3 linked regions of the Xenopus tropicalis genome follow. The protein of the gene in region 1 interacts with the protein of each later gene in a pairwise test. Links are inferred from orthologs where the notes say so. Each region holds a gene or a part of one and is shown on either strand. Other genes may lie near its edges.

What was found. The genes of interacting proteins can lie anywhere in the genome.
Region 2: the proteins of glp1r (region 1) and cd81 interact in a protein complementation assay, tested with the Homo sapiens proteins (2 studies listed by BioGRID). The link is inferred for Xenopus tropicalis from reciprocal best matches to the Homo sapiens genes GLP1R and CD81.
Region 3: the proteins of glp1r (region 1) and slc15a4 interact in a protein complementation assay, tested with the Homo sapiens proteins (2 studies listed by BioGRID). The link is inferred for Xenopus tropicalis from reciprocal best matches to the Homo sapiens genes GLP1R and SLC15A4.

The regions. Positions count from the first base shown.
Region 1 is NC_030681.2:3,034,524-3,045,011, reverse strand, and holds part of glp1r (glucagon-like peptide 1 receptor), read left to right. Parts: intron 1-2,201; coding exon 2,202-2,262; intron 2,263-5,774; coding exon 5,775-5,844; intron 5,845-6,153; coding exon 6,154-6,242; intron 6,243-10,488.
Region 2 is NC_030680.2:22,303,486-22,314,729, reverse strand, and holds the start of cd81 (CD81 antigen), read right to left. Parts: upstream 6,010-11,244; 5' UTR 5,944-6,009; coding exon 5,878-5,943; intron 1-5,877. UniProt on the Homo sapiens protein: Structural component of specialized membrane microdomains known as tetraspanin-enriched microdomains (TERMs), which act as platforms for receptor clustering and signaling.
Region 3 is NC_030677.2:158,918,689-158,929,904, reverse strand, and holds the start of slc15a4 (solute carrier family 15 member 4), read right to left. Parts: upstream 6,010-11,216; 5' UTR 5,706-6,009; coding exon 5,136-5,705; intron 1,842-5,135; coding exon 1,546-1,841; intron 763-1,545; coding exon 603-762; intron 1-602. UniProt on the Homo sapiens protein: Proton-coupled amino-acid transporter that mediates the transmembrane transport of L-histidine and some di- and tripeptides from inside the lysosome to the cytosol, and plays a key role in innate immune response.

The DNA of each region.
Region 1 (10,488 bases):
ATTCTCACTGGGTTTATAGTTATGTGTAACTGTCTCTGTCTGTCTCTCACTGTCTGCCTGTGACCATTGCACTGCTGGTTCTGTCTCTTGAAACAAAAGTTCTCTCTTTCTCAGCCAATACTGTACAGCTTAGATTGTAAGCTCTCAGGGGCAGGGATGTAAGTGCTACAGTATTTGCCCCCCAGGGATGGGATGCTACATGTTGCAGTGAGACTGGGCTGTTTGCTCCCCTTCTGCCATTCGGGGGGGCATCACAGACACAAACTGCGCAGTGGGATGGGATTTGCCCGGGGGGGGGGGGGGTAGATTGGATCAGCGCTGCGTTGCGCTTTGGTACAGAGATTACTGCTGGGGAATGAGTGATGGGAGGGCTGGGGGGGCTCATTAATAGACAGAGCGGGGGGGGGGGGGGGGCAGCGCTGAGAGATTGGGGCTGTTACTATGACTGATGTTCTTCTCTCAGTAAGTAACGAGGCGCCATTACCAGCAATGAGCCCAATGTCTCCGTGGGGCGCAGTTTGCGCAGCGAGTTTCTGCCAAGTGTCGCCGGGAACCAACAGAGCGACGCCATTGGCTCCGGGAGATAAATCCACAGGCTGTAACTGTCATTTACTCTACAATTACAGGATTTCTACTGAAACACCATCGGGCTCAGAAACTGCTGGTTCCACCGGCCCATAATAGTCTGTCTGTGGGGCCTCATCCTCTAATGTTTTATATAACCGTATCCTTACTATATCTACAGATACAGCCGGGGTTATCCCCTCACTGGCCTGATACAGTGCCCCCTATGTGCCATGTATAGGTGTAGCCGGGGTTACAGTGCCCCCTATGTGCCATGTATAGGTGTAGCCGGGGTTATGGTGCCCCCTATGTGCCATCTATGGGTGTAGCTGGGGATACGGTGCCCCCTATTAGCCATCTATAGGTGTAGCCAGGCTTACGGTGCCCCCTATTAGCCATCTATAGGTGTAGCCGGGGTTATGGTGCCCCCTATTAGCCATCTATAGGTGTAGCCGGGGTTATGGTGCCCCCTATTAGCCATCTATAGGTGTAGCCGGGGTTATGGTGCCCCCTATTTGCCATCTATAGGTGTAGCCAGGCTTACGGTGCCCCCTATTAGCCATCTATAGGTGTAGCCGGGGTTATGGTGCCCCCTATTTGCCATCTATAGGTGTAGCCAGGCTTACGGTGTCCCCTATTAGCCATCTATAGGTGTAGCCGGGGTTACGGTGCCCCCTATTTGCCATCTATAGGTGTAGCCGGGGTTATGGTGCCCCCTATTTGCCATCTATAGGTGTAGCCAGGGTTACGGTGCCCCCTATGTGCCATCTATGGGTGTAGCTGGGGATACGGTGCCCCCTATTAGCCATCTATAGGTGTAGCCGGGGTTATGGTGCCCCCTATTTGCCATCTATAGGTGTAGCCAGGGTTATGGTGCCCCCTATTTGCCATCTATAGGTGTAGCCAGGGTTATGGTGCCCCCTATTTGCCATCTATAGGTGTAGCCAGGGTTACGGTGCCCCCTATTTGCCATCTATAGGTGTAGCCAGGGTTACGGTGCCCCCTATGTGCCATCTATGGGTGTAGCTGGGGATACGGTGCCCCCTATTAGCCATCTATAGGTGTAGCCAGGGTTACGGTGCCCCCTATTTGCCATCTATAGGTGTAGCCGGGGTTACGGTGCCCCCTATTTGCCATCTATAGGTGTAGCCAGGGTTACGGTGCCCCCTATTTGCCATCTATGGGTGTAGCCGGGGTTACGGTGCCCCCTATGTGCCATCTATAGGTGTAGCCAGGGTTAAGGTGCCCCCTATTTGCCATCTATAGGTGTAGCCAGGGTTAAGGTGCCCCCTATTTTCCATCTATGGGTGTAGCCGGGGTTACGGTGCCCCCTATGTGCCATCTATAGGTGTAGCTGGGGTTACAGTGCCCCCTATGTGCCATCTATAGGTGTAGCCCTCTGAGCCATTGTGTCGGGTTCTACTGTAGCCTGACAATACCGCTCAGGAGCAACCCCCTCCCTAGGAACATATTCTACCCCCGGGGCATTACTTCCTCCTGACAGCTCCGGATGTTGGGGCTCATTTGAGCAAACGTAGGAGCCTGATGGCCGTGTGTATTGTGTCCCTAGAGCTCCCAGCATGCTCGCTGCCGTACGCCTGTGACTCCTCCCTCACCGTCTCTCTCTCTCTCCCCAGGTGTGCCGGTGCTGTTTGTCGTCCCCTGGGCCATAGTCAAGTACCTGTATGAAGACAATGGGTTTGTTCCTGTTTGGTCTTTTCCTATGAGCAGATACAGCATGTTCCCTTATGTGTCTGAAAGGGTTAATACCTTCATTCACCCCCCTCTTTAGGTGCCCCCTGTAGTTACCCGGATGTAGAAAAGTGTTGGTGTTTTGGTTTTTATGTCCCAGCAGTAATAACTCTCTAATAAGCTGGTCAGCCTTGTGCCTTTATATGGGGGGCACAGAACCCCTCAGTGACTGCTAATATCCTTATCATTTACAGTAGGGGGTACATTATCCCTTATAATACATGAGTGATACTCAGAGTTCCCTGTATAACTCAGCCTGCAGCCTTGTGCCTTTATATGGGGGGCACAGAACCCCTCAGTGACTGCTAATATCCTTATCATTTACAGTAGGGGGTACATTATCCCTTATAATACATGAGTGATACTCAGAGTTCCCTGTATAACTCAGCCTGCAGCCTTGTGCCTTTATATGGGGGGCACAGAACCCCTCAGTGACTGCTAATATCCTTATCATTTACAGTAGGGGGTACATTATCCCTTATAATACATGAGTGATACTCAGAGTTCCCTGTATAACTCAGCCTGCAGCCTTGGTGCCTTTATATGGGGGGCACAGAACCCCTCAGTGACTGCTAATATCCTTATCATTTACAGTAGGGGGTACAGTATCCCTTATAATACATGAGTGATACTCAGAGTTCCCTGTATAACTCAGCCTGCAGCCTTGTGCCTTTATATGGGGGCACAGAACCCCTCAGTGACTGCTAATATCCTTATCATTTACAGTAGGGGGTACATTATCCCTTATAATACATGAGTGATACTCAGAGTTCCCTGTATAACTCAGCCTGCAGCCTTGTGCCTTTATATGGGGGGCACAGAACCCCTCAGTGACTGCTAATATCCTTATCATTTACAGTAGGGGGTACATTATCCCTTATAATACATGAGTGATACTCAGAGTTCCCTGTATAACTCAGCCTGCAGCCTTGTGCCTTTATATGGGGGGCACAGAACCCCTCAGTGACTGCTAATATCCTTATCATTTACAGTAGGGGGTACAGTATCCCTTATAATACATGAGTGATACTCAGAGTTCCCTGTATAACTCAGCCTGCAGCCTTGTGCCTTTATATGGGGGGCACAGAACCCCTCAGTGACTGCTAATATCCTTATCATTTACAGTAGGGGGTACATTATCCCTTATAATACATGAGTGATACTCAGAGTTCCCTGTATAAAGGGGTGTGGCTTACTAAGGATTAGGGTGTGGCCTAATGTGGCTGCTATATGCTGAGCCCCCCGTGGCCCTGGATTCTGAGAGGCTATTGGTTCTGCTCAGTATTTGCACCCTGTGGGACCCGAGGGGGGGAATTTATATAAATACAATTTGCATGATGTTATTGGCCCCTCCCCCCGCGTACATAAACACAATAAGGGCCTCATTAACGCTACGGCGAGATCTGTGAGTGCGCATAATTATCCCCTGACATCTCGGCGCCTCAATGCTCATTATCGTTAGGAGAGAACAAGTTCCCATTCGCTAAAGCGTGAGGCCGCCGCCCCAATACTCGGTTATTATGCGCCTAATTGGTCAACTAATCACTTAATTAGCCATTAGCGTGCGTTTGTGGTGCTCGTTTGCATAATGAAGTGTATGAATATTGACACAGGTAATTATGGGCTAATGTACTCATTCTGAGAGATTGCGTGTAATTAAAGGCAAAGTTAACCCTGCGCAGGGACGGCTCGGGGGCATCGTATAACGAGCGGCGGAGACTGACAGCTTCCTGCGCGGGATGCACGGATTAAATACGGTTTAATAAGAATGCGCTTAATAAATGATGATAATAAATTGTATCACCGGGTTCGTTAGGCGCCACGGCAACCATCCCTCGGGCTCAGAACCGCCCGCCCCCCCCCCCTGCACTCACTCACTAACTTATACTTTATTACTTCTGTTTAGGCCCTCCTCCATTCATATTCCTGTCTCTCTTTCAAACCATTGCCTGGTTGTTAGGTTAAACTGGACCCTAGCAACCAGATAGCTGCTGAAATTCCAAACTGGAGAACAAAAAGCTCAATAATTCAAAAACGGCAAATGAAGACCAATTTCAAATTGTCTCAGAACAGCATTCACTCCGTTATACTAAAGGTTCATTTAAAGGGGAACTACCCCTTTAATATAGCCCCCCCCCTTTTGTGGAAACAGAATTCTGTGCCCCCAGTGCACGGGACCCAGGGGTAGAATCTCATTTCCTTTGTTTTATTGGGAACCCATAATAATGCCAGTAGCACCCACTGCTCTGCCGCTGGCACCCTGCCACCTCCGCTTGCCCCTCCCCTTCCCAATGTTCTTACTGTGCAGCGACTGGGGGTGCTGGGGGATGCGGCTGCGCTTGTCAGATAACGAGGCGCAGGGATGGGATATTATTTGTGCTGTAATTAAGTCGCCCAGGCGCTGGCCCATTACTCACATTACTGGAACAGAACCGGCACTGACCCAATGCAGCAGCGGCAACCGGTACAGAGACGTAATAACATAACTGCCCGGCCAATGGGATCAGGGCACAGGGATTTGCACTGATCTACTCCCTGCACTGCCCTATGGGGCAAATACACAGAGACAGGGAGTGAGAGTAATGCCCCGGGCTGTACAGAGACAGGCGGGGAGTGAGAGTAATGCCCCGGGCTGTACAGAGACAGGCGGGGAGTGAGAGTAATGCCCCGGGCTGTACAGAGACAGACAGACAAGGAGTGAGAGTAATGCCCCGGGCTGTACAGAGACAGACAGACAGGGAGTGAGAGTAATGCCCCGGGCTGTACAGAGACAGACGGGGAGTGAGAGTAATGCCCCGGGCTGTACAGAGACAGACAGACAGGGAGTGAGAGTAATGCCCCGGGCTGTACAGAGACAGACGGGGAGTGAGAGTAATGCCCCGGGCTGTACAGAGACAGACGGGGAGTGAGAGTAATGCCCCGGGCTGTACAGAGACAGACGGGGAGTGAGAGTAATGCCCCGGGCTGTACAGAGACAGACGGGGAGTGAGAGTAATGCCCCGGGCTGTACAGAGACAGACGGGGAGTGAGAGTAATGCCCCGGGCTGTACAGAGACAGACGGGGAGTGAGAGTAATGCCCCGGGCTGTACAGAGACAGACGGGGAGTGAGAGTAATGCCCCGGGCTGTACAGAGACAGACGGGGAGTGAGAGTAATGCCCCGGGCTGTACAGAGACAGACGGGGAGTGAGAGTAATGCCCGGGCTGTACAGAGACAGACGGGGAGTGAGAGTAATGCCCGGGCTGTACAGAGACAGACGGGGAGTGAGAGTAATGCCCCGGGCTGTACAGAGACAGACGGGGAGTGAGAGTAATGCCCCGGGCTGTACAGAGACAGACGGGGAGTGAGAGTAATGCACAGAGACAGACAGTCAGGGAGTGAGGAATATATTGTGCCTTTATTCCCCCCCCCCCTATGACTTGGTGTGACCCAGAATGACCCATTCCCTCTCCCCCTAGCTGCTGGACACGGAATTACAATATGAATTTCTGGCTGATCATCCGGCTCCCAATCCTTATGGCCATCGGGGTAAGTTTGCTGCTTCCCAATCAATTACCCCCCTCCATCTCATCCCTCTCCCCAAGCCTGGGGGCTGCACGGCGACACCTGCTTATATGGGGCATGGAGGGGTGGGTATAGTAACTCGCACAGTGAGCTTGCACTCTATCAGCAGGTATCACTATCACTGGGCCCAGAGCCACGTTAGTCAGTCCCCAAGGTGCCAACCCCTGAGAGCTGCCCAGCAATCCTATTGGCTAATGCAAAGGAACAGTTCCCCTTTAATAGAGCTGAGAGACCCCGAGGGGGGAATATAAACTCGTTTTTTTTTCCTTTCAGGTGAATTTCGTGATCTTCATCCGAGTGATTTGCATCATCATCTCCAAGCTGCAGGCCAACCTCATGTGCAGAACCGACACCAAGTGCAGGTCAGAACCTGGCGCCTTATTGGCTGCTGCACCTTCTCTTCTACAGGCAGGAAGTGTATCTGTTATATGGGTGGGGGCTGCCATTTTGGTTTCCTTCTATCCTAGCCAGGGATTTAGGCTAGTCATGTGACCTTGCCCCTCCCAGTGCTTTAAAGTTTGGTGCCAGAACCGTCCCACGTTTACTGGTACTGGGGCAGTTGTAGAAATGACACTTTGGTTTCTCTGCCCCAATTGCCCCTATAAAGCTTGGGAGAAGCTCTCACTATTGGCGCCTGTCTCTGCCAATCTGATCACTTGTCTCATTTTTGTTGCCCTGTCCTGCTGGGTACTGACCCAACCCAGACACTGAGACTGGGTACTGAGCCCTCCATGGTGTTTGGGTCATTTTGCCTAACAAACAGCACTTTCTTTTGCTGCCCCTCCCTGGTGATGTCATGGACTGCCAGAAAGCGAGGCTGAACAGTTGCTAGACAGACAGTCCAAGTGTGATATGGAGATGTCTATGGCAGGAGAATGCAGTAAAGTGAGACCTAAGTGCTGCGCCCACAGACAAGCCATAGGGATTAAGCTAATGTTAAATGAAGGGTAGAAGTGAAGGCAGGTAAAGTGATTTATTGGGGTGAAGGAAAAGTCGGGGACCTTGTTGGTGCCTGGGGGGCCCTTGATATAAATTTCCTACTAATTTAACCCATTGGTCCCTATGGGACTATCAGTGCCCCAGTTCTACGGGGAAGAACCACTGGTCACATGGGGGTGTATAAATAATGTGGGGGGCACCATGCAACCCCCAGGGGCTCCCCAATCACATTGGGGTTACACAGGCCTTCTAAATTCTGATATTACAACATCCAAGTGTCTCCTGCCCCTCAGGCTGCTGTTAAAATCCAAGAGTGCATTATTGGGGCGCCCAATTAAGCGCAAATGGGGGGGGGGGGCAAGAAAAAGTGAATTGAGTGCAATGATTTTGGTTACACAAACAGTTGCACCTGTATCCCCCCCATCAGAGAGGGTGCTGGGAGTTCCCTGGGGGGAACAGGTGGAAATGGTGACAGGGACACACGCTAATTATTATTTAAGAACAACAGAGGGCGCTGTGTGCAGGGGAGTATCATGAACAGAACCGGTTCCGCTCACACACGGAGCCATAGAGAGCGCTTATTGGCTAGTAGCGCCGCTGCTGCCCTCCCACACACCTTCCCGCCTTTCCCATGAGCGCGCCCCCCGCCGCTTTCTACCTCAGAACTTGCAATAAAGCGAATCCGTTCCCGGCCCCCCAATATAAACCCTCAGTGGGACCAACGGGCAATGAAGTGTTTCATTTCTAAATTCACCTATATATGATCTTTAATTACGTTACAGACTGACCAATTCCAAACAGCTTTGCAGTTGGTCTTCATTTTTTTATAGTTTTAAAATGATTTGCCTTCCTCTGCCCAAACCCTATTGCTCTGTGAGGCTCCAGTTTTATTGTTACTGTTTATTCCTTATATTTCTATTCAGCCCCTCCCCTATTCATATTCCAGTCTCTCATTCAAACTACTGCCTGGTTGCTAAGGTAAATTGAACCCTGGCAACCAGATAGCTGCGAAAATTGGAGAGTTTTTGAACAAAAACTAAATTAAAAAAAAGCAAATAAAAAGAGAAGACCAATTGCAAATTACTCTCTACATCGTACTAAAACTACTGCCTGGTTTCCAAGGTAATTTGAACCCTGGCAACCAGATTGCTGCGGAAATTGGAGAGTTTCTGAACAAAAACTAAATAAAAAAAAAGCAAATAAAAAGAGAAGACCAATTGCAAATTACTCTCTACATCGTACTAAAACGACTGACTGGTTTCCAAGGTAATTTGAACCCTGGCAACCAGATAGCTGCAGAAATTGGAGAGTTTCTGAACTAAAAAAACTAAATTAGTAAAAAAAAACCACAAATAAAAAGAGAAGACCAATTGCAAATTACTCTCTACATCGTACTAAAACTACTGCCTGGTTTCCAAGGTAATTTGAACCCTGGCAACCAGATTGCTGCGGAAATTGGAGAGTTTATGAACTAAAACTAAATTAATAAAAAGAAAACCACAAATAAAACGAGAAGACCAATTGCAAATTACTCTCTACATCGTACTAAGAGTTAACTGAAAGGTGAACTACAACTTTAACCCTGTGTGAGTGGCACCTTACATAGCGGGGGCCACTGGGCCCTCAGGTTACTGAATCACACCTCGCGGATCCCCAGTTGATTTGATTCCAATTTGCTCTAATTCGCCCCGGATCCTGGCGCCGGAGGATAAAATGCAGTTTAGAGGGTTTAGAATCAATGCGAGGGTTAACTTTCCCTTTATCTGTAAAGATCTAAATATCCAAAAAGTCACCTGTATCCAAACTGCAATTTAGTGTCAACAAAATCCAAGAGTTCTACTTGCCCTTTATTGCAGATAATTAGCGCATCGTCCCCGTCACGGAAACGGTTTCTGAGCAGATAAAACATTGGGAGAATGATTAGCGGGAAGGGGGGGAGTCGGGAACCAATCCCGGGAGGGGGAGAAGCAACTCAAATGGAGGAAAATTTGATTTTTAAAGATTTAGAAAAAAATAACAGAGAACATTCTTAGAAATAAGTGAAAAAAAGGACAAAGGCGCTAAATGAGCGGATCGGTAATAATAACGATATCACAACGCCGCCAGCGGGTAAGGGGAGGGGCACGGTGGCCATGACGACAGATAAATACACAGAGGGACAAATAACCCAATTAGTGTTTTTCAGAAAAAAATATTAAATTCAGGCTGAGGCGCTGACAGACACAGACAGACAGACAGACACACACAGACAGACAGACACACACAGACAGACACACACAGACAGACACACACAGACAGACAGACAGACACAGACAGACACACACAGACAGACACACACAGACAGACACAGACACACAGACAGACACACAGACAGACAGACACAGACAGACAGACACAGACAGACAGACAGACACACACAGACAGACAGACACAGACAGACAGACACACACAGACAGACACAGACAGACAGACAGACACAGACAGACAGACAGACAGACACAGACAGACACACACAGACAGACACACACAGACAGACAGACAGACACAGACAGACACACACAGACAGACACAGACACACAGACAGACACACAGACAGACAGACACAGACAGACAGACACAGACAGACAGACACACACAGACAGACAGACACAGACAGACAGACACAGACAGACAGACACAGACAGACAGACACACACACAGACAGACACACACAGACAGACACACACAGACAGACACAGACACACACACACAGACAGACACACACAGACAGACACACACAGACACACACACACAGACAGACACAGACAGACAGACACAGACAGACAGACACAGACAGACAGACAGACACAGACAGACACACACACACAGACAGACACACAGACAGAGACAGACACACACAGACAGACAGACACACACAGACAGACAGACACACACACACAGACAGACAGACACACACAGACAGACAGACAGACACAGACAGACAGACACAGACAGACAGACAGACACACACAGACAGACACACACAGACAGACAGACACAGACAGACAGACAGACACAGACAGACAGACACACACACACAGACAGACACAGACAGACACACACAGACAGACACAGACAGACAGACACAGACAGACAGACACAGACAGACAGACACAGACAGACAGACACACACACACAGACAGACACACACAGACAGACAGACACAGACAGACAGACACACACAGACAGACACACAGACAGAGACAGACACACACAGACAGACAGACACAGACAGACAGACACAGACAGACAGACAGACACAGACAGACAGACACACACAGACAGACACAGACAGACAGACACAGACAGACACACAGAGACACACAGACAGACAGACACACAGAGACACACAGACAGACAGACACAGACAGACACACAGAGACACACAGACAGACAGACACACACAGACAGACACACACAGACAGACACACAGAGACACACAGACAGACACACAGACACAGACAGACAGAGGGTTTGGAGGGAAGCGCAGAAATCTGAGGGAATGAATCTCAGGGATGTGATTGGCCGGAGGCGGATGGATATCTGTATCCCCAGATCTGACACAAAAGAAACAATTGGATTGGATCCCGGGCCGAGTGTAATTACAGATAAGCTTCTCCCGCAGATAAA
Region 2 (11,244 bases), on another chromosome or scaffold:
GCTTTTGTTAAGGGCTGGTTTATTTTCCACAATAGACACACAGGAAGAAAATAAATAAATATTCCATATCACTGGAAACTTTGCCTCAAAGGATGGAACTCCCACAGGTAACACCTCATTGCCTAGTCCTAATGCTGCACACACAGCCAGATTCAGCAGGAGCATCCCTTATATATACAAACAATGTCGACAATACCATCTCACCCTACTATACCTGCTATCCCACAGCCCCAGTCCCTTCCCAGAGGCTATTATCCCCCCACTGCTACTATAGGCACCATCTCTCCCTACTATACCTGCTATCCCACAGCCCCAGTCCCTTCCCAGAGGCTATTATCCTCCCACTGCTACTATAGGCACCGTCTCTCCCTACTATAGCTGCTATCCCACAGCCCCAGTCCCTTCCCAGAGGCTATTATCCCCCCACTGCTACTATAGGCACCATCTCTCCCTACTATACCTGCTATTCCACAGCCACAGTCCCTTCCCAGAGGCTATTATCCCCCCACTGCTACTATAGGCACCATCTCTCCCTACTATACCTGCTATCCCACAGCCACAGTCCCTTCCCAGGGGCTATTATCCCCACTGCTACTATAGGCACCATCTCTCCCTACTATACCTGCTATCCCACAGCCCCAGTCCCTTCCCAGAGGCTATTATCCCCACTGCTACTATAGGCACCATCTCTCCCTACTATACCTGCTATCCCACAGCCCCAGTCCCTTCCCAGAGGCTATTATCCCCCCACTGCTACAATAGGCACCATCTCTCCCTACTATACCTGCTATCCCACAGCCACAGTCCCTTCCCAGAGGCTATTATCCCACTGCTACTATAGGCACCATCTCTCCCTACTATACCTGCTATCCCACAGCCACACCCCCTTCCCAGAGGCCATTTGCTCATTGCTGTTGCTACTGAGTGGAGGTGCTCTGAGTGCTCTGTGGAGTTGTGACTTTCTCCCAGGCCCGGCTGGGTCTGGGGGTTAGTTTTTGTGGGTATTTTTTCTTTGTTTTTTGCTGTTTTTCCCTACTCAATGGGGAAGAAAGCGATTAAACCGTTTAGCCGGGTAGTGAAAACCCGTTTGAGAAGCAGCAAGAAGGCCACTGGGTCCAACATTGTGGTGACAGTGGAGCGCACTGCAGAGGGCAATGTTTCCTGCTCTCTTAAAGGGAAGGAAAAGAAAAGCAAAACCTGTTCCCAAAGCGGCATGGAGAGTGACTCTGAGGACCTGGGCGCCGGTGTTGGAGTAACTGCAGGGAGCTGCGGAGCTACAACAGAGGCAGACCAGGAGGTGAGAGGAGAGTCTGATGACTGCAAAATGGCTGCTGGCAGTGAGGAGCTTGGAAGCCATGTGGCCCTGGAAGTTGCAGAAAGTGCTCTGACCAACCAGGAAATGGCTGCTGCCTGTGAGGAACATGGAAGCTGTGTGGCCCTAAAAGTTGCAGAAAGCGCTCGGAGTGACCAGGAAATGGCTGCTGCTTGTGAGGTGCATGGAAGCCGTGTGGCCCTGGAGAGTGAGCAGGTAATGGCTGCCGGGCCCCTGGGGAAGGCTGGGGAAGTGCACAAAGGTACTGAGACTGTAATACAGTATGATACAATAATTAATGCTTTGAAGGAGCTGCGGTGTTTGGAGGAGAAGCAAAACAATTTAAACAGAGACATTGACAGACTGATAAAAAATCAGAAGTTGCTGAGAGGAGAGAGGAGAACTCAGTACATCAGGGAGTTGGCTTTCCACAATAAGGAGCTGGAAGAGACTGAAATTAACATTAAAGACATTTTGGCTGTTATAGAGCCATGGAAGGAACTGTATGACAACAAACAGAGATTTGAGCAGATGAAAGAGGGGCAATGTGACTGCTGAGAGACTGCTAAAGTTGCTGAACTGCTCAAAGAGACTGAAGTTTCAAAAACTTTTACTGAATGTAGCGTTGCTACTAACATTGTGCATAGTAACGGTCTTTCCCATACTGATAGTGTGTGTGCAGCTGCCGTTAGTGGGGTGAGTGCTGGGGGCAGTGTGGGGCAAGCAGCTGAGAGTGGTGGCAGCTGAGGTGCAGGTGATTGCAGGTAATGCAATGTGTGTGAGTGAGGGGGGAGGGGCAGTGAGTGCTGGGGCAGCTGAGGTGCAAGTGGCTGGGAGTGGTGCAGCTGAGGTGCAGGTGATTGCAGGTAATGCAATGTGTGTGAGTGAGGGGGGAGGGGAAGGAAAAAATGTCGTTTATTCTGCTGGGAAAGCAATGTGCATGGGGGGACTGAGAGTGTTGCTGGGGCTGCGGGGGGCAGTGTTTTGGGAGGGAAGGAGATTCTTTGCACGTGAGCAGGATGAGGAGTTTGATGATGAGTTTGATAAGAGGAAAAATGTTGTGAAAATTAAGTGGGAGAAAGAGAGGGAGGATTTCCCGGGGCGCAGGTTTGTGGGCAGAAACATTATTAAACAGTTGCTGGGTTTTACCCCACAGGACGTTTATGCCTTGCTGAGTGTCACAGACACAGAGTTTGATTTAAGCTATAAGCTATCCCAAGGGTTAGAGGAGTTCTGGAGGCGGTACCATCTGAGTAAAGAGGCCAAGGAATGGGAGGGGTTTAGGGTAATCCCTGTGTCCAAACCCGAAACCAAACTGGTCACCATTATCATGAAGAGAGAGACAGTGCATGAGCAGGACATCCTCATATGGCTCCGGCGCCAGTGCACTGTCCTATCCCCCCTAGAGCCGGTGTTTGATGAGGAGGGATTCTGGGTAGGGGGGTATAAAGTCCAAGTGAAATTGCATGTGGATCAGAATGTTCAGAAACATCTCCCAAATTCCTTTTTCATTGGGAAAGCAAGGGGTGTCTGTTTCTATGTGGGCCAGCCCAGGCTATGCTATAAATGTGGGTCCAACAGACATTATGCTGTAAAGTGCAACATACAGAAATGTGCTTTGTGTGGGGAGACTGGGCACCCAAGCAAGGAGTGTGTCAAAGCAATAAAGTGTAACCTGTGTATGCAATCCGGCCATGCTTATAGGGCCTGCCCCGACGCCTGGCGCAACATTAGGAAGGCTTGTCCCAATCTGGAAAAAGTAATGAGTACCCCAATGCCAGGGGAGAACTTGCCCCAGACTGAGGGAAGGGGGGAGGAGAGGGCAGGTGGGGCAAGAGAGACAGACAGGGGGCGCCCAACAGAGGTGAGAGGGAAAGAGGGGGAGAACAAACAGGCAAAGGCACAGGCAGCGGTACAGGCAGCCCAAGAGGAGGGAGGCGGAGGGGATGGTTGGATAGTGGTGGGCAGCAAATCAAATAAAGCTAAGGAGGCTCAGTGCCCAGGTGTAATTACCCTCCCAACTGAAAATAGGTTTGTTTTGCCAGGAGGGAAGTCATGGGGGGATTTAGCAGAGGAACAGGTAGAGTTGGAGAGAATGGAGGAGGAGGAGGAGAGGGAGAAAAGGAAAAGTCTCTCATCTGATATCATCTCCAGCAGGAAGAAGAGCAAAAGGGAAGGGGCTTTTCAGTCTCAGGGGGCAGAAAAGGAGTCACTGGAGGAAGGGGAGTTGGAGGAGGAAAGTGTGATGGAGAGTCAGGGGGCAGGTGTGCGGGTACAGGTTAAACGGTCTGCTGGGAAATGTTTGGACAATTCTCAAAAAAAGAAACATAAAGATGCCTCTTGATATGTGTTTTATAATGATCTGTAAGAAATAAGATGCTTTGCAGGAAAGTACGTTTTGTTTTTGATGTAATATTGATTTATGTTTTTTTGGTTTTTGTTTTTTGCTTGATTGAAATGTAATTATTGTTTTATTGTATTTGTTAAATATATTTTAATAAAATTCTCTCCCTACTATACCTGCTATCCCACAGCCCCAGTCCCTTCCCAGAGCCTATTATCCCCCCACTGCTACTATAGGCACCATCTCTCCCTACTATACCTGCTATTCCACAGCCAAAGTCCCTTCCCAGAGGCTATTATCTCACTGTTACTATAGGCACCATCTCTCCCTATTATTAAGGAGATTAATAAGCTTCCCTCATGTTGCTCTACTAAGAGATGAGCTTAGGGGCCCCACTCCTGATTGGACATTATAGGACAACTTACACCCAGGTGCCATTTTCTACACACTGCCATTCTTCATGCTGTTATGAACTATTAATTCAAAACAGATGCATGGAAGGGAGCCTTACATCCTAGCATAGCAATGTGGTAGCAGATAGTCAACCCGCCCACTCATGTACACATAAACACATATGGCCAATAAACAATGTAAGGAATGTATAACCCAATGAAAAATGCTTTATAAGCACATCTTAACCAAATGATGTCATTACAGTGTAATCCTAATTAGTCATCCAACCTCCGTGTTGTTGCGGCAATTAGTGGTGGCAATTAGTTGCTGCGATTGAATTTTAAAAATCGCGGTGACCAATTGCCCCGTCTGTCTTCACCCTAATGCCTTATCCTCTGACTCCAATACACCAATGGGCCCCATTCTAATGGCCAGATTATTCTAAAGATGGCAAACATGTTGGAATCATCAATTTTAATCCCTCCTGACACTAGAAATTCTACACTTAAAGCACTCTATTGTATCTTCCAACGCATACAGTTCTGGGGGCTGGATTTTTTGCTGTAAATAAAAATAACCTTTCCATACCTTTATATAACAAAGCAGCCAATAAGCAAACACTATAAAGTCACTATAAAGAGAAACTGGCTTGTGGATGTGATTATATACATAAATACATAATTCTTTGAACAGATGGATGCATTTTGGGGGCAACACAGGCACAAACACAACGCTGTACGTCACAAGTATAGTGTAAACACGCCCACTGAAATTGTTTCCGCAGTATTATCATTTCCATTGTCACAACTGTTGTACAATTATACATCCTGCACCTTATAGACTGGAAACTCTACTGAGCAGGGCCCTCTGTACTTCCTATAACAGTCAGTATTTGTATATAATCGTTATGGTTTGATATATACGCCGCTCTATTGTACAGCACTGTAATCCTTTGCCCTGTCTGTGAATACTGTGTGTGTAACATACATGCAATAAGCATGATGATAATCACCCTCAGTTTTGCTTAGCATGCACCCACTGTATCAGCATAGCATTATAATAAAGCCTAAGATTTTAAAGAAATAAGGGAAAGGCAATGGGCAGCTACTCCCAACCAGTTGCGCCCTGCCTGTTGCTCAATAGCAATCCCCGCAATTTTCCCACAGTCTTTAATCCCAGTACATAACATCAGTGCTGTCCAATCGGCAGCTGTTCTGTAATACAACTCCCAGCATCCCGCCTAGAGTGCAATTTAAAGCACAAGGAGAGAGTTGCCGCCTGTTAATGCTGGGGGCCAGTGGCTGGGGATGCCTATCTGTGCCAGGGGTGTATATATATATATATATATATAGGGCAATGTTATTGTGATACATGAGGGGCTATGGGTAAGGAGGGGCTAAACTGCCCAGTTGGGCTCAGCAGCCCCCACTATTCCCCCTCTGCACCACGTGGTGTTGGAGACCCTGCAGAGGGGCTGTTGTTGGTTACTGAGTAGGACAGAGGAGGGGGCACAGAATGATCCCCCCCCTCCCATTACAGCCACACTGAAATCCATGGGAAACAGCAGGGCTGGCACCGAGCGACCCTTTCCCTGGCTGGAACGCACTGTGCTACAGGGTTCATCCATTCCCCACCCTGATATAATTCCGCCCCATCACCCCCCTCCCAACTCACAAACACTACGATTCCCAGGTTCCAGCCAACCCTCACCCCCCTAAGCGCTATCTCAGGATCTGTAGGAATGGCGATGGGGGGGGGGGGGTCAGTGGAACCCTGTGCCCCCCTCGTTTGTACCCTTACAAATACCCAATGGATAAGGCACACTCACCCAGAAGATGAAGTTGAAGACAAAGAGCAGATATTTAATGCATTTGGTGCATCCTTCTACCCCCATGGCGGCTGCGCTGAGCGTTCCCCTGTCCCTTATTAGCTGTAAAGCGGATCAGAGATGCGAGAGCGGAGAGACAAGGTGCAGACACAGCCAAGCCGCCTCCCCATACAGTGTCTGTGCCACGCCCACTCCCCTCCCCTGCCCCCCCCCCCCTCCTTTTAAGGAAGGGGGGCTTCCTCACAAGCCAATGGCTATCAGGGTTGGGGTATCCTCCTGAGGCGCTTGTGTCCCTTGCACTACTACTCACTGTGTTTTCAACGCCATTTCCCAGCATTCCTTGTTATTTCTCCACAGAAAACTCATGTTAAATAGTTGAAACTGATAAAGTTCCATCTAAATATCTCTATATAGAATAAGGAAGGTGATAAGGACGTTTGTGCTGTTACAAAACATGCTATCTGGTCGTCTGAGACCAGCAACAACAAAAAAAGTGTGAGGGATTAGTTGTATGTGTATTTGTAATTACCTCACTTTTTATTTTGGTCTGTTCCTATGGACCTTCCCCTCTTCCTTTCTGATGGCTTCTTGGTTGCTAAGGCAATTAATCCTTAGCAACCAGTAAGCAGCTGGAACTTGGCTGGCCATACACGTGGTCGCACGAAACATCGTCAGATCCGCCGCACACCATTCAGGGCTGAATCGACAGGTAAGGAGGTAGAAACAATAGGATTTCTACCTCCTTCTGCCAATTCAGCGCTGAAGGGAGATTTTGGTCAGGCGCCTTCTATGGCGCCCGATCAAAATTTTCAAACTGGTCCGATCGGCGAGTCGGCCAATATCAGCAGCTTCCTGCGATATCGGTTGACTCGCCGACATACCATACACGCACCGAATATCGTACGAAACGAGGTTTCGTACGATATTATCGGTGCGTGTATGGCCACCTTTAGAATTACATAACTATAAATGTAAATATTTAAAAAATGAGAATTAAGAATTTAGATTATTTATATATTGTCTTCGATTATTGATTTATGTTGATGAACCCCCTCAATCTACCCACGGCCCTTGAGCCACACTACTACAGCTCCCAGCATCCTCTGACAGCGAGAGGCCTGTGTGATTAATATTTACACAATCCCATGTTCAGGAGCGGGAGAGAGGGGCTTTCCCTTTTGCAATGTTTAAATTAGGGGAAAAAAAGGACCTCTGTCTTTTGCTAAAGGGTTAAACCCCAAACAGATGGAAAGTACAGTTGGGAAATTGGAAGGGAAACTATAAAGGGCAGGGTGGGGGTAACAGTAGCATGCTTGTTAGGGAAGTGGGTATGTGAGGCTAAAATAAAAGTGTGAGGGGTGCGGGGTGTGTGTCGGAGCTGGGGGAGACGTGTGGAATACATCAGCATAAATCGCTTGGCTGATTTTTATTTTAAGTCTCTTGTCTCTGGTACATTTCCTGCCAGATGGGCCAGGCACATATTTCCCTAGCTGTAAACTCCTGCCATTTCCTTTAGGCACACTGCAGCATTTCCCTTTAAATTGAGGGGCGGCGTACAGTGTACTTGTGCTGGAATTTCTGCCTACCTTTATTAAGAAAATTTCCTCTTTAAGGGCGACTTGTTATGTGTTTCTTAAGGGCTCATAGTGGTTCATCAACGTTATTTTATCAGATGCATGTGTAGGTCTACATAGGATAGGATAGGAAAAGTCAAGTTCACTGGTATCTGGGCCAATGTATATATATAAAAAAATGCTCTACAAAAATCCCCCCAGTGCCCTTTCAGAAACTAGCGTTTAAACCCAACAGTAGACCTGAGGGGGTATATACCCATTTAGTTCTGCAACTGGCACCTGTGCTGCAAGGGAAGGGGGCAGGCAGTCAAGATCCAATACATTTGTTTTCCATAGTTGTTCTGCCCCTGGCCTGTCCCAATAACCCCTTTGCCCTCCCCTTCTATGCTCTCAATCCCTTCCTACTCATTAAATTTGACCCACTTTGTCCATTTATGCTCCTCCATATCACATCACAACTCTACCCTATAATATTACAACTCCACCCCTATTAGCTCATTCACTGGCCTATACACAAGTCCAGACTGGGATTCAAAATAGGCCCTGGCATTTAAAGTACACAGAGGCCCAAACAGCCCCCACAAGCCCAATAAATAGTGACTGTCTATGGCCTCTTACTGCAGCCCCTCTGGGATTTGCCAGTCTGGGCCTGGGGGGCAGAAATGGTGATGCAAACCCAACAGCCACCAGAAAGGGCTGGGATGGCTAGGGCATTGCTGGTGGGGCTGGGCCAGGAGAGGTCCAGGCCCACCACCTTCCTTTGGCCTCATCTAGGTGCAATTTGTACACCTGAACACCCCGCCATCTAGTAGGTTTCAGGCTACAGTGAAGAGAGTGCCCGGGAGTCAGGTTGGCAGTGTGGCATGCCCATAGAAGATACTCCAGGTTAGTTTTTTCACCAAAGATGATCACTGGCTTGGGATATGAAGTAAGAATTCTTTTTTACTTGAATATGAATGCCTTATGGGGCAGCAGGAATAACTTTTTTTTTTTTTTTTTTTTTTTAAAGTCTTGTTTTTATTGTTTTGGCACAATTTGTTTGTCTTGCAAGATCCATCATTTAGAAAAGGATTACAATAGGATATATTTAGCTGCAATGGCAGATAGTTGGATAGTTTGGCAGCACCATTATTGACAATGGTATAAAGCACCACAACTATATCCTTAACTTGCGGCCTAACATCGGCTGTGGGAGCATACTGGGAGAAGCAGTGCAGCGTGGGATAACGCTGAGGCAAAACATGTTGGGCAGCTGAATTTGTTAAATGCCTAATTCAATTTTTCCACCCCTGCTTTTATTTAATTTGTTCGTTTGGCTTGTTGGCTCGGGGCCACAAGGTTTCATTAAGTCAGCCTTGGTGTAAATGCGTCTGTATCCGTTTCTTTTATAATGAAGAACTGAAACTAATGAGTGAGTTTGTGTCTGCGCGCAGAGAGGAGGGGGAAATAAAGCTCTGACCTGGGCGCACTTAAAAATAGGCACCAGAGGAAATATCTGAAATGCTTGCATTTCATCAAGAAAGGATGTGAGCACTGATACAGAGGGATATCTTATGAGAGGGATTGCTGGGGTATTGAGAACTAGCATATAATGGCTAATTCGATCGTTTGGCCCTAGGGCCCATACACTGCCAGATAAGCTGATTCAAAATTGGTCTGAAGGACTCAAATCTTCCTGTGTATGGCCACCTTAACCCAACTTTCATAGATTTCAGGCTAAAGCTGACCGGACCAAACCATTTTCCCTGAGGCTGCGGTGCCTAAGGCTGTGGAAAGTGTATTTCAGGGGGGCGAAGAAGCACCCGAACACTATAGAAACTTGAGGCTGAAAGGGCAAATAGTTGGGTCTCCCATTCTGATTTGCTCACATGCAAGCAAACAAATTACACAGGCCACTTTGAGTTCTGTTTGTTATGCAAAAAGGACCTGTCCATATTGGTTAAAATCCAAAGATATGCCAGTAAAGGTCTTCAACCAACCAGGCAAGCTGCCACAACGTCCTTGGCAAAAGAGTGAATTGTTGGCATATGGCCAGCCTAATAGCCCTGTTAGATGAGATAAAAGGGAGGAAAACATAAACTTGCTATACATTCAAAGATCTGTTTGGACACAGTCACCAAACTAAAAAAAACTTTGCTTGATTTGGCCACGCAGGTGTTAGCCGAATGGTGCTGATGCGATCATTTGCCCCCAAGGCCGAACAGCCTATATCAACAGCCTAACAGCAAGTGCCACATTAGCAAAGCATGGCCTATCCCCAGCCAAAACCAGACCTAAACAAGGGATAGGCAGTAGAGTCATCTGCTATCTTAGCAGCTCATTATTTAATCAACTTTTAGACTGATGTCCCACGAAGGGTGTTAGTTGCCCGAGATATCTGCTATCATGGGCAACTAACTGCTCTGAATAGCCTTGTCACCAGTGACCCATATTGTTGCTGGTGGAAAGGCAGTTTGGAGTGGTTAGCCCCCACATCACTTTGGTTTTCCAATGTTGCACAAAGTTTCCTCCTGTAGGTAACTTCGCGCAACTTCTGAAAACTGAAGCAATGCAAAGGCCCCTGGAAAGGCATTTCAGAATGGCTAGTCAACCGCAATAGCCGAGATATTACGCAGGCGACTAACTCTCTCTGTGGGGCATCAGACTCTCTTCGCTGCTCCCATGTCAGCTGGTCTGCACCTGCCACTAACCAAGGTGGGAGCAATGGTTTGGGTCCAGTTCTGCCTTGGGTGTCAAAGCTCCTTGCTTCATCTCTATTGGACTATTAACAACAATGAGCCAGGCAGAAGCTTAGATTAGAGCAGCAGACAGTGCTTTACTACAGTAACATCAATCTGTTGGAAAAAGGAATTTTTTGGCCATGCCTTGTTAGGCCCCAATTGCTTTCCACTACGCAATCCCTATATCTTCTATAAATTGGCTGCAAAAAATCCAGGCTCCTTAACAGGCTTTTTCAGTTAAAGGGATTACAAATACATTTTGTAATCCAAAATGATGGAAAACAGGGTACTTGGCTATTACTACTGTCGACCGGAAGATAGGAAGATGTGCATAATAGTGGCCTTTTGGGTTTACCGGCTAGGCCAGTCAAACACCGGCCAGATGGCAACCCTACAGAAAGAGCAACTGGAGTGCAGTATCAGCCACCAACTTGGGCAGTGCCCCTTAAAGATTCACTGAATATGCCCACAGGACATTTTGATCTTCTTATGCTCACAGATGCAGCATTCAGCATCCACTTTCCTTTTGAAACTTAAATCTAAATGTATTCATTTGCTGCACATGAAAATATTACAACAAACAACTCATTTCCTTACACTCCTATTTCATTCTTGCTTGATTAATGCTCAAGTTGCCTTTTTCAAGAAATTTCACAAAGTACTGTATATTTACTTGCTTTAATTAATATGCTTGTTTTGCTCTTTCCCCCAACTTATAGATATTTTGGCTCAGCTAGCAGTTTTAGGATTGTCTAAGCTGCAGTCCTCTCAAACAGGCTAGCCACAACATCCTAATCACTGGCCATAACCCCCCTAAACCAACTATTAAGCAAGGCAAGAGCTATGGGTTGGCAGCAGAGCCATGTGGCTATGGCACAACAGGATGCTAGGATGATGGGACCCTAGGCACATACCTCTGCTGCCTACTCCTGCATGGAGGGGAGAGTAAGGAGGGTTTGGTGACACAAGCTATAGGTGGGAGGTTGGTGGCAGCCAGGGTTGGGTGTTGGACAAGCAGGCATCCTTGCCTTGGGCGCCTGTGGCACTGCCATTATGCTTCTTTCTATTATAGT
Region 3 (11,216 bases), on another chromosome or scaffold:
TCTAATCCATCTATTATTACTTCCCACAGAGAAATACAGGAAAACGCAGTGCCTAAAGCACACATGCAAGTCACAGGCAGAGGTCTGCCTGTCACAACTATGTCTGTTTTAGACAATGCATTTACTATAGTTCTGTGGGAAACAGTGACAAGTGGACTGGGGTTTTTTAGCCATTTTACTGACTCCCCATATGCCCCAGAATATGAGCTTCATGGAAAATACCATACGTTTCATACATGTTGATCTATTGTAATTAACTATTTCTGTAGACAATAAAATCCTATTAAATAAAATGTACTATTGGTAGCTGAAGGCTCATGACCACAGGATACTTTTTGATCCTAAAGACTATAGAACATAGTCTGCCGCTGCAATCTGGCTGAAATCAATAGTGGACAAACCATTACGTTCAATAGGCCTAAGGCAAACATTTGCGTATGTATAACTTTATATAGCGCTACTAAGATACACAGTGCTATACAACACTGTAATAAATAAATAAATATACAGGAATGAAGTGCCTTGTGGTAAGAGATTTGAACAGCATGCTTTCTCTTCCCCCGTTGTCATTGCAAATGCTATGTTTAAATAGAAAAACAAACCTGAAAATACACAGTCCAATATGGAATAAGTGCCAAGAATACTGGGATAATTTTTACAAGGGATTTGACATCTTCTACTTTATCTTCCCTAAATGGTCCACCACGCGAAGCCTTTGCAAAATCCAACCTGCTTTGTTTATGCCTTTGTTGATTATTCTGGCTGTTGAGAGATATTAAATATATATATGTTAAAATATCTAAACATGCAGTTTTATATTTTAAAAATATCCAATTTTTACCAATCTACAGAAAAGCTAAATTTATTGGGGGAAGGGTTGGAGTGCCAATGTTTTAGGCACTTTTTTCCCCAGAAAAAAATGCACTGTGGTGTCAAGTGTAAGTTGATGCTAAAGACGACTGGAAAAAAGACAACTATCTGCATAATTCTCCTTTTAAAGATCAGGTAAGGGGGGGGGGGGGATAGGGGGGTTATTTTCCTTTAAAGGAACAAAGTGGTACTCTAAGCTACAGGCAAAATATATTTTATCCTGGGGATGAGAACATCTTTGCTTTAACCAAATCACTGCAAAGTGTGGATTTTAAAATGTTTTATTCTAAACAGATCTGATGTTTAATCAGATAAGAAACTGACCAACCATTCTCCCTTTACTTATAAAAAGGACTTTAGTCATAGCTGAAACCATTATATTAATGTTCTGCAGCACTTCCTTAATTTAGCTTAGCCTCAGGCATAAAGAAGCAGACCGACCATGTGAGATACTAGGGGGAAATTTGGACGCATGCGCCACAAGCACATTGCTTATACACATGCACTGTTGTAGTAAAACTGACTTGGTTACTATACAATTATCCACATTGATGTTCTGGGGGAACCTGGAAGGGTGATTCACTTCCCTGTATTGATTTTTCAGTAATGACTACTCACATTTTTTTTTTCTGTAAAATTGAAACTTAAAAAATACAATATCCAGCTCTTACATACACGTGTCTAGTGTTTTCTCTTCTATGCTTCCGTGCGCAGCAGGAGTAGGCCAGAATCTTGACCATATCAGTGAAGGCACTGCCATCGGCTGGTTTGGTAACAAACACCGTTTTTCCACATAAAAAAACTAAAAAGGAAACACCGATACACACTGTTGGAATGATGTATCCAGTGAGGAAATCTACATTCTGCTGGACATATGCAATTCCGCCAAGAGATATAATGGCACCCAGGTTAATACTCCAGTAGAACCAGTTGAAAAATCTCCGTGTTGCTTCTGGTCCTCGGTCTTTCACCTATAGAAAAGATAACCCATCACATAAACAAACAATCAAAAAATAATCAAGGTTAAAAAAAGGGGGCTCTCCTTAAAGGAACACCAAAAAACAAGTGATAAAAATATAATGTACTGCTGACCTGCACTGCTGAAACTGCTTGCTTCAGAAACACTAATATAGTTTATAAAAATAAGCTGCTGAGTAGCCTTGGGGGTAGCTATTTAAGTTGGAAAAAGGGAGAAAAGTCACAGGTTACATAGGAGATAACAGATAAGCTCTGTAGAATACAATGATGTTTTACAGCACTTATTTGTTATCTGCTATGTAACCTATGCCATTTAGCCCTATTTCAATATATATGGCTGCCCCCATGGTTACACAGCAGCTTTGTTTAAATAAACTGTAGTAGTGTTTCTAAAGCTTTTACCAGTTCATTATATTTTAATTACTTTAATACACTTTCGTTTTTTGGTGTTACAGTTGCTTAAAACCACTGATGGACAGCGCAACCCAACAAGTTCTGCTCCAGCTGACCCCACAAAGCAAGATACGGAAGAATTTCTATAACATGCAATGCTATTATTTACTTAGGATACTTCATTTAAAAACTCCCCCCTACTTGCTCTATTTAGTCTTCTTTGTCGCCCCAGAATTTGCCATATTTCCCTATTGTGTCATCTGTTATTTGTGATGGGATGAAATAATGATATTGTGTGTTATTTTCCTCTGTAAAATGGAAATTCTGACTCAATGAAACATATTGTAATATACTAAACAAAATCATTACTGACCTAAAATAAAAATTAAGAAAAGAGACAACTAAAAATAGCATTCACAGTGAATAGCTACCCTTTCATAACTAACAGACACCAAATTAGTACAGCATCTCATGACTGAAATCCCTTAGTCACTATCATGTGCTATGGTAATACAGCAGTGTGGCTTTATCCCATACATATATCCAGGGTTCAAAAAAGTTCAGAGGGGGAACCATACATAACATGTTTCTTTCTTTTTTCCACATAAGATAAGTACAGGTAAAAAGATCCAAACAATGTCCCCTGTGGCTGTGTAATCTGCTCCAGCAGGGATGGAGATGCTGTGTGAGCAGCCTGCCTAAACATTACCCCCAGCCCATTCACTAAATGGCTTTGTGCCACAAACTGTACCACAAAGCATTCACTAAATATGTGAATGAAGGTAAGCCCAGTGAGCAGGGCCTGGTGCCATCCAGCAGCAAGGAACACTTTGGGCCTTATGTAGGACTATAGGTAGAGACTGTCCCACTCTACAGTAACTCCCCAAGACCACTGATCCAATTCCACTCAACATTTAAACTGCACTATACTGTTCCAAGAGAATAGTGGGTAGCAGGCCTGGACTGGAATTTAAAATAAGCCCTGGCATTTCAAGTACACAGAGGCCCAAACAACCCCACACCAGCCCATTACATAGCGACTGTTTATGGCATTTTACATAAGCCCTTCTGACATTTGCCACAATCCACAGATCACCAGTCTAGGCCTTCCTTGTGTTTATTGACTAGGGGGATTGCCGATGTTACTGCATAGATCAGTTTATGAAGGTCGGGTGTCAGTATTTTATTGGCCTAGAAAGGAGGCATGATATTGTATTTTTGGCTAATCTCTAAAACAGCGGTTCTCAACCTGTGGGTCGAATGACCCTTTCACAGGAGTCGCCTAAGACCATCGGAAAACACATATTTCTGATGGTGTTAGGAATAATTTTATGGTTGGGGGTAACCACAACATGAGGAACTGTATTAAAGGGTCGCATTAAGAAGGTTGAGAACCACTGCTCTAAAACACAATGCTTTATAAAAATAAAGTGCCATCCCAGCACTGCTACATTATTTGCTATCCCTTTAGGTTGTTAGGTATAATGTTTTTCTGGCCTTGAACTGCCCCCATTATTGCAATGTGGACAAATGAAATACCATTGTAGAACTGTTTATAGATCTATTAACTTTGAGGGTAGAGGTCACTTACAGCCTACTTCACTAAAGGAGTTTTTCCTTAGTTTTCACATAGACCTAAGTACTGGCTGTAAAGGAAACAACAGTCTATGAGAAAGCGGAATACGTCGGTTGTTGGCATGGAATAGTGCCTCTTGTCACAGGCAGCAGCTTAGTGCCACTTAAGGCAGAGAGCTCACCCCATCCCTTAAAATTACCTTTAGAGTTTAATAAGTATTGCTGTGGCACATTATATGCCAGGTGCCCAGTCTGGAGTGCCGGCCAGTATTGCACATGTGCATCACCTTTCTCTCCTGGCCATGAAGGAAGACATGGAGAAAGTGCCAATGCAGAATAATGTGGTGGAAGAGGTCAGAGTTGGTTGAGTGGTGTGGCCAGCTTTCTATACTTATAGGCTCATACTTTTGGCACTTGGTAAAGCAGCTCTATGCCATGAAAGGCACTGTAAGAATACCAACTTTATTTGCTCTTTAGGGCTCTGGCACACAGGGAGATTAGTCGCCCGTGACAAAACTCCCTGTTCGCGGGCGACTAAGACTCATCGCGAGTCTTTTTCGTCGATTTCGGGAAATCGCGCCGCCGCGTGTGCCATCCCGCCGGCGACTTACAAGCAGGGGAAGGCAACTCGGGGAGATTAGTCGCCCGCGAACAGGGAGTTTTGTCACGGGCGACTAATCTCCCCGTGTGCCAGAGCCCTTAGGGTGAAGACACACAGGGCTACTGGTAGCAGCTACTTTTTCACGGCTACTAAACTCCAGAAAATACCCTGCCATAGACAATTCTGAAAATTGCCTCTGCTAAAACACATGTAGAGACAGTTATCAGTTAATGATCAGCATTGTCTATTTTAGTAGCAACGACTAGTAACTGCTACTAGTAGCTCTGTGTGTCTTCACCCTAATACAGGCTGGGCTGGCAACCTGTGGATTCTGGCAAATGCCTTAGGGGCTGCTATTAGTTGCCATAGACAGTAACTTTTTTTTGGACTGGAGGGGGCTTTTTGGGCATCTGTGTACTTGAATTACTGGTGCCAGGCCTGCCGTTAAACTGTTTGAAGCAATGACTTAAGTGCTACCATCTAAAATGGCATGTACCAGCAGGCACTTTTACAAATAACCACTGTACCCTTAAGATACTTTTTATCTCCACCATTAGAATGAGATGTTAAACTAGGTCCTTTGCCTGTTAGTGCGAAACTACAGCTCTCTAAAGCTTTGTGCATGCTGGGAAATGTAGTGCAACATTAAATATAAAAAAAACAAGAACAGACAAGGCCAGAAAAGAACGTGCAAGATGGTTAATAATAAAGACTATACCTGATCAGCTCCAAACGGTGTGATATTGGCCTTCACCGAGCCCACTCCCAGCCCCACAATGATGAGCCCTAGGAAGACCGCCGGGGCGCAGTATCTCCGGCTCGGATCCAGGCAGGTATCGGGGCTGCTAGAGGTGTTGCTCCTGCTACAGTTATCTATACGAGCCCACGGAATGTCCCCACAGAAAGCAGTGCGGGTCCCCGAATAGGAGATCATAGGGAAAAGCAGCATGCCCAGCAGGTACAGCACCATGCTGCCGAGAATGATGAAGAAGCGCCCTAACAGGGCATCTGCCAGCCAGCCAGCAAAGGGCGACACCAGGTAAGTGATCCCCATAAACAGTAAGAGAGCCTGGCTGGCCTGGGTCCCTTCCCACCCGAAGATCTGCCCATTGAGGAAAAGGACGAGGTTGGAAGTGATGCCGTAGAAGGCCACCCGCTCCAAGAGCTCCGAAAGCAGCACGGCGGCGCAGGCCAGGCCCCGACCGGCGAACACGGAGCCAGGAGGGACAGGGGGCTCAGAGCGGCCGCCCAGGAGCGGGCTCCTCTCGCTGGGATCACGGCTTGCCATCTCTGCACACAGGGGCTGAGGACAGGAGAACGCTCACCACGCCCGGGGTAACATGCAGACTCAGATTAGGAGCTCTCCGGAACGGGACTCACTGGCAGAAGGACAGACCCGGTTAGGCAATGGGCAGAATACGGAAGCGATCCCGCTGATCCAAAGCTGTACGTACCTAGCCGGCCAATACTTCTTCCACTAACTCGTGACTCCTTCGGGAGCCCGCCTACTTCAGCCGGTACCGAGAGGTGATTGGTTGTCACTAAGTACAACAACTGTAACTCTGCCACCTATTGGATACACTAGCTAGCCTTCACACAGTGTCCACAACATTACAAAATAAATAGGTATACTGGGGTCAGCTGTAGTACTTGTGTGAATTGCAATTCATCCCATCCTCCCTCGCTTCGCACATTGCTGTTCTGATTACTTTAATTGTTGCAGGTCCCTGTCCCTGCTCTTTTTAGCACAGAGACCTTCAGCCGCCCCTGTGAATACAACCCTGCCTGCATTTGGGAGTGCTGTATCCACTGTCAGACTGGGATGCCAAGGGCCCACCAGAAAACCTTGGACCATGGGCCCACTCCCAAACTATTTTTCATCCACTTCTTAATAGTCTCTATATTGTCCTAGTTTTTTTTGCATCTTTGCATACTATAATCTATTCTTCTATATATTTAGTTGGTTTGGTCCCAAAAATAAGTGATGACCATGAATTAGGCCAAATGGCTAGAAGCAGGAGGGCCCACTGACACCTGGGCTCACCTGGAGTTTTCCTGGTATCTCTGTGGGCCAGTCCGACACTGGCTGTATCCATGAGAGGTGGGGAAGCATGTAAGCCCCACCACCAGGCAGAGAAGCATGACCCCCACCTAGCACCTAAATTGCGTGTCATTTAGACAGAAAGTTAAGTAGTGTTGGCACATGAAGGTGGGGTCCTGCACTTACTCCCTACCAATTCATAATATTGACATAGAACATTATTTTTCCTGCCCATATCAATAAAATACCAGCTAGGTGTTTCGGGCACTGCAAGTCCCATGTGGGGCTAGCGGAGCTGTAAATTAGCCCAATGTCATGAGGGAGATAATGATCAACCCCAGACCTTTTTGAGAGCTTAATTTATGTTATTTAGTGTAAAGAGGAAATCAGGCCTAAAAAACAAACAGGACTGGATCAATATCTCCCTCATGACATGGGGCTGGTTGACAGCTCTGGGCTAGGCCCAGGTGCAGCTACAACCCCTACCCCACCCCGTATCCAGGAGTTATACAAGTTGGAGAGCAGAGTGGTGCATCTAATTTTTTCACTATTCACAGTGACCACTTTTGATGACTCGCAAAAGATTTTGTAGGTTTTTTAAGTTGTTCTTCTTATAAACTAATAATGTGTGTTTTTATTCAGATTTCCTGCTTTGGGGTTGATTTTTCTTATAGTGGCTTCTTTATATTGCTAGGCAGCCCCATTAGTTCTGAATAAAAGGTGATTCTCGGATACCTTAAGTGTTCATCATACCTCCCAACTGTCCTGATTTTCGCGGGACAGTACCTCTTTTGACAGCTCAACCCGAAGTCCCGGATTCTTACTGAAAAGTCCCTGATTTCCCTTTGATCTCCTGCACTAAAGCTAAAAAAGATACAAATTTAATTAAAAGTACCTTTTTGGCAGAGAGCCCAGAAATCTTTACTAGCGTCACCTGCACTGAGATACAATTGTAACTAATAAGCTGAACAGGTCTCTTGAGACTTGCGGCTTAAAGGGCAATTTCACCTTTTCAGCAAAACTGTAATAACACATAAAACAGGACCCCAAAACCCCCAGAAATGTGTTCAAACTTTAAATAACCTGACAAATGTAGTCAAATGGGAGTGGTATTTAGGGGGGTGTGGTCACAAAAACGGGCGTGGCCAAAAATTTGGGTGCGCCATTTGTTTTTGTCCCTGTTTCTGTGTTCAAAATGTTGGGAGGTATGGTTCATACTCATACTGCCATATTTTTGTTACATCTAAGCACAGTGCATGACTTCATATATTCATGAATGATAGGATGTGTGTCAGATACTGGTACTTTGCTACAACCTGGCCATTATACATGTGATTTTTTTCATGTTTGTTTTGTGAATATGACACTTTGCATAGTTCCCACTTTGAAATTACATTTTAATGTCTATAGGCTCATAGCATTAATTTACCTAGTACAGAATTACTGGCAGCATCATATAGCCCAGTGACCTGCTGCTGAAAATGGCACAATGTCACACCATTACCACTCCAAACTACATGTGATTGTTCTAAATGACTCGGCCCGAACACACAAGCGCTTTGTCCTACATTCCCCTGCAGTGGAGTTCTCCTGTTCCATTGCAGGGGAGCACAAGGCCAAACGCAATCCATTATTTTTTACGGGGCACAAGGTGAAATTCCCGTATGGACGAGCCCTTAAATAGCATCTGCCTGTTACTGCTCACATGAGCAGCCAAACTGCAGGTTTGATTGGGTGTAGCAAGTCAAAGTGGTGGTAGCAGTGCTGATAGCCAGGACAGATCGTTGTATTTAAATTTACAACCGATATGTGAACATTCATCGGAAGAAAACTAAAATCTGAAAGTGTATGGCTATCTTAACAAGACCTATTCACCTGTTAATCTCTCTTTTGGGGTGCCCCAAGGGTCAGTCGTAGGGGCAGATTTATCAAAACACGAGTTCAAATCCCGAATGGGAAAAATTCGGATTGGAAACGAAAATTTCTGAAGATCGCAAATATTACGAAAATGCTTACGAAAAAATCGTATTAGTCAGGATAATATCGTATTGTGGTGAATTAGCAAGGTGAATGCAATTCACGCGCCGCATAAGCAAACTACTAACACCGGCACATGTTATACCAGCTAACAATTAAGCAAAAGCGGAATAGCGTTCAGGGTCACACCGAGCAGTTCTCTGATGCCGAAGTAGTAAATGCGAACGTTACTTCTATATGCACTATGCTGAGCATTTGAGATAAATTAAGTCCCAATGTGATCACATCGAGCGGTTCTCTGATGTCGAAGTAGTAAATGCGAACGTTACTTCTATATGTATTATGTTGAGCATTTTATACAAATTAAGTTCCAATGTGATTACTGATCGTGTGTAACCAATGTGAACATTGACAAGCCGTAAGCAATTACAATTTGTATCCTCTGCCCGCTCTGCAGTAAGGACAGAGACAAAATCATTGATTAATGGCTATTAATAGTGCTAGTATAACTAGCGATTTTGACTTTTGAAGGAAAGTGCGGAAGCTGTAATGATTGGATAAGCTTACCCTTTCTCTGATAGGTAAAATAGATTACCGAAGTTATTATTAATTTATGGCTAAATGTATGCCATAAAGGATAGCATAATTAGTGATTGTTATCCCGCTGAGCCAAACAACAGGCCCTAATTAACAATTGTTCTGCCTCGAGCAAAGAAAAAAAGGGGACTTGCAAATATTATGTTATAAATAATTCTGTGCCAATTTGATATTGGACATTAACCACAAGGGTTTTATACGTTTCTGGACTATATTAAGACCAGATATACATGATCCTGGAAATCGAATACTGGTGAACTGTGGGTCAACCTTAGCAATATTCGGTGAAGCACTAGGAATCAGTAGAGTGAATTAACAGTTAGGAGATTAAATCTGTGCATGAGCACCATAACGATACTTACCCGTGTTTAAAGTGTAATATCCACTTGTTTCTCTGTAGAAAACAAATATCGATGAAATAAAGACATGATACACGAATGGTGAATAAAAGTTTATTATACGGATGGTGTAATTATTTTCAAATCTCCCATGTAAGAGTTTTTAGTACTTACCTGGATGAATGAATTACGATTTCTCTTGCAAGTCACACTGTGCAGACCATTTATATTGTTGATACAAATGAAACTAATCACAACAGAAAAAGATACTTTATAAGTAACAATATCCAGGAGGGTAAGAGCTAGAATTGAAACAGTTTCAAGGTGTGATTTCGAACATTTTAAACTTTTCTTCACTTTCCTATCCATTTTAAGTATTTAATTAAAATTAAAAGTAAAAGTTATATTTTAATAATAAGAGGTGTGCCAGTCTTGTCCTTTTCGTGCCTATAACACGTTATATTAGACGTGCAGACTTTGCCAGTTTAAGGGCATCTCTGCAATGTGTCAACTGGGAAAGGCTTTTCATGGGGTTAGACACAGAAGGAAAATGGAACATCTTTAAAACATTGCTTTGCAGGTATACACAACAGTATATTCCCCTTGTAAGCAAGGAGAGGCATCGCAAAGCAAAACCCTTACGGCTGAATAAAAGAGTTAGGGTCGAGGTTGGTAATAAAAAACGTGCTTTTAAAGCATTCAAGTTAGCTGGGACAGCGGAAACTTTCATCAGGTACAAGGAAGCAAATAAAGCATGCAAAAAAGCTATCAGGCAAGCTAAAATAGAGATGGAAAGGGATATTGCAGCTAGGAGTAAAAAGAATCCAAAATTATTTTTTAATTATGTGAATAGTAAAAAAATGAAGCAAGAAGGGGTGGGAACTTTATTATCACGGGGAGGTAAGTTGGTTGATGAGAACGGAGAAAAAGCTGAAATCTTGAACTCTTATTTTTCATCTGTCTATACATCTGAGGAGCCAGATAATGAAGGCTTCCCTTTTAATATACCCAGTGCTAGTAATTTAGCTACTGGCGCATGGGTCACTCAGGAGGAAATTCAAAAGAGACTTGAACATGTAAAGGTAAACAAAGGTCCAGGACCGGATGGGATTCATCCCAGGGTATTAAATGAGCTGAGCGCTGTGATTGCCAAGCCTCTTCACATAATTTTTCAGGATTCATTGAGGTTTGGCATGGTGCCGAGAGACTGGCGGATTGCTAATGTGGTGCCGTTATTTAAAAAGGGATCTCGTTCTCAGCCTGAAAACTATAGGCCTGTTAGTCTGACATCAGTAGTAGGAAAGCTTCTGGAAGGGGTAATAAGGGATAGGATAGTTGAATACATTGCAGTTCACAATACTATTAGTTTGTGCCAGCATGGTTTTATGCGTAACAGATCTTGCCAGACTAATTTAGTTGCCTTTTATGAGGAGGTGAGCAGGAACCTTGATGCTGGAATGGCAGTTGATGTCATCTACTTAGATTTTGCTAAAGCGTTTGATACAGTACCGCACAGAAGGTTAATGATCAAATTGAGGAATATTGGCCTAGAACATAATATTTGTAATTGGATAGAAAACTGGCTGAAGGATAGAGTACAAAGAGTGGTGGTAAATGGAACATTTTCTAATTGGGCCAGTGTGGTTAGTGGAGTACCGCAGGGGTCAGTCCTTGGTCCTTTGCTTTTTAACTTGTTTATTAATGACCTGGAGGTGGGCATAGAGAGTACTGTTTCTATTTTTGCTGATGACACTAAATTGTGCAAAACTATAAGTTCCATGCAGGATGCTGCCGCTTTGCAGAGCGATTTGACAAAATTGGAAAACTGGGCAGCAAACTGGAAAAT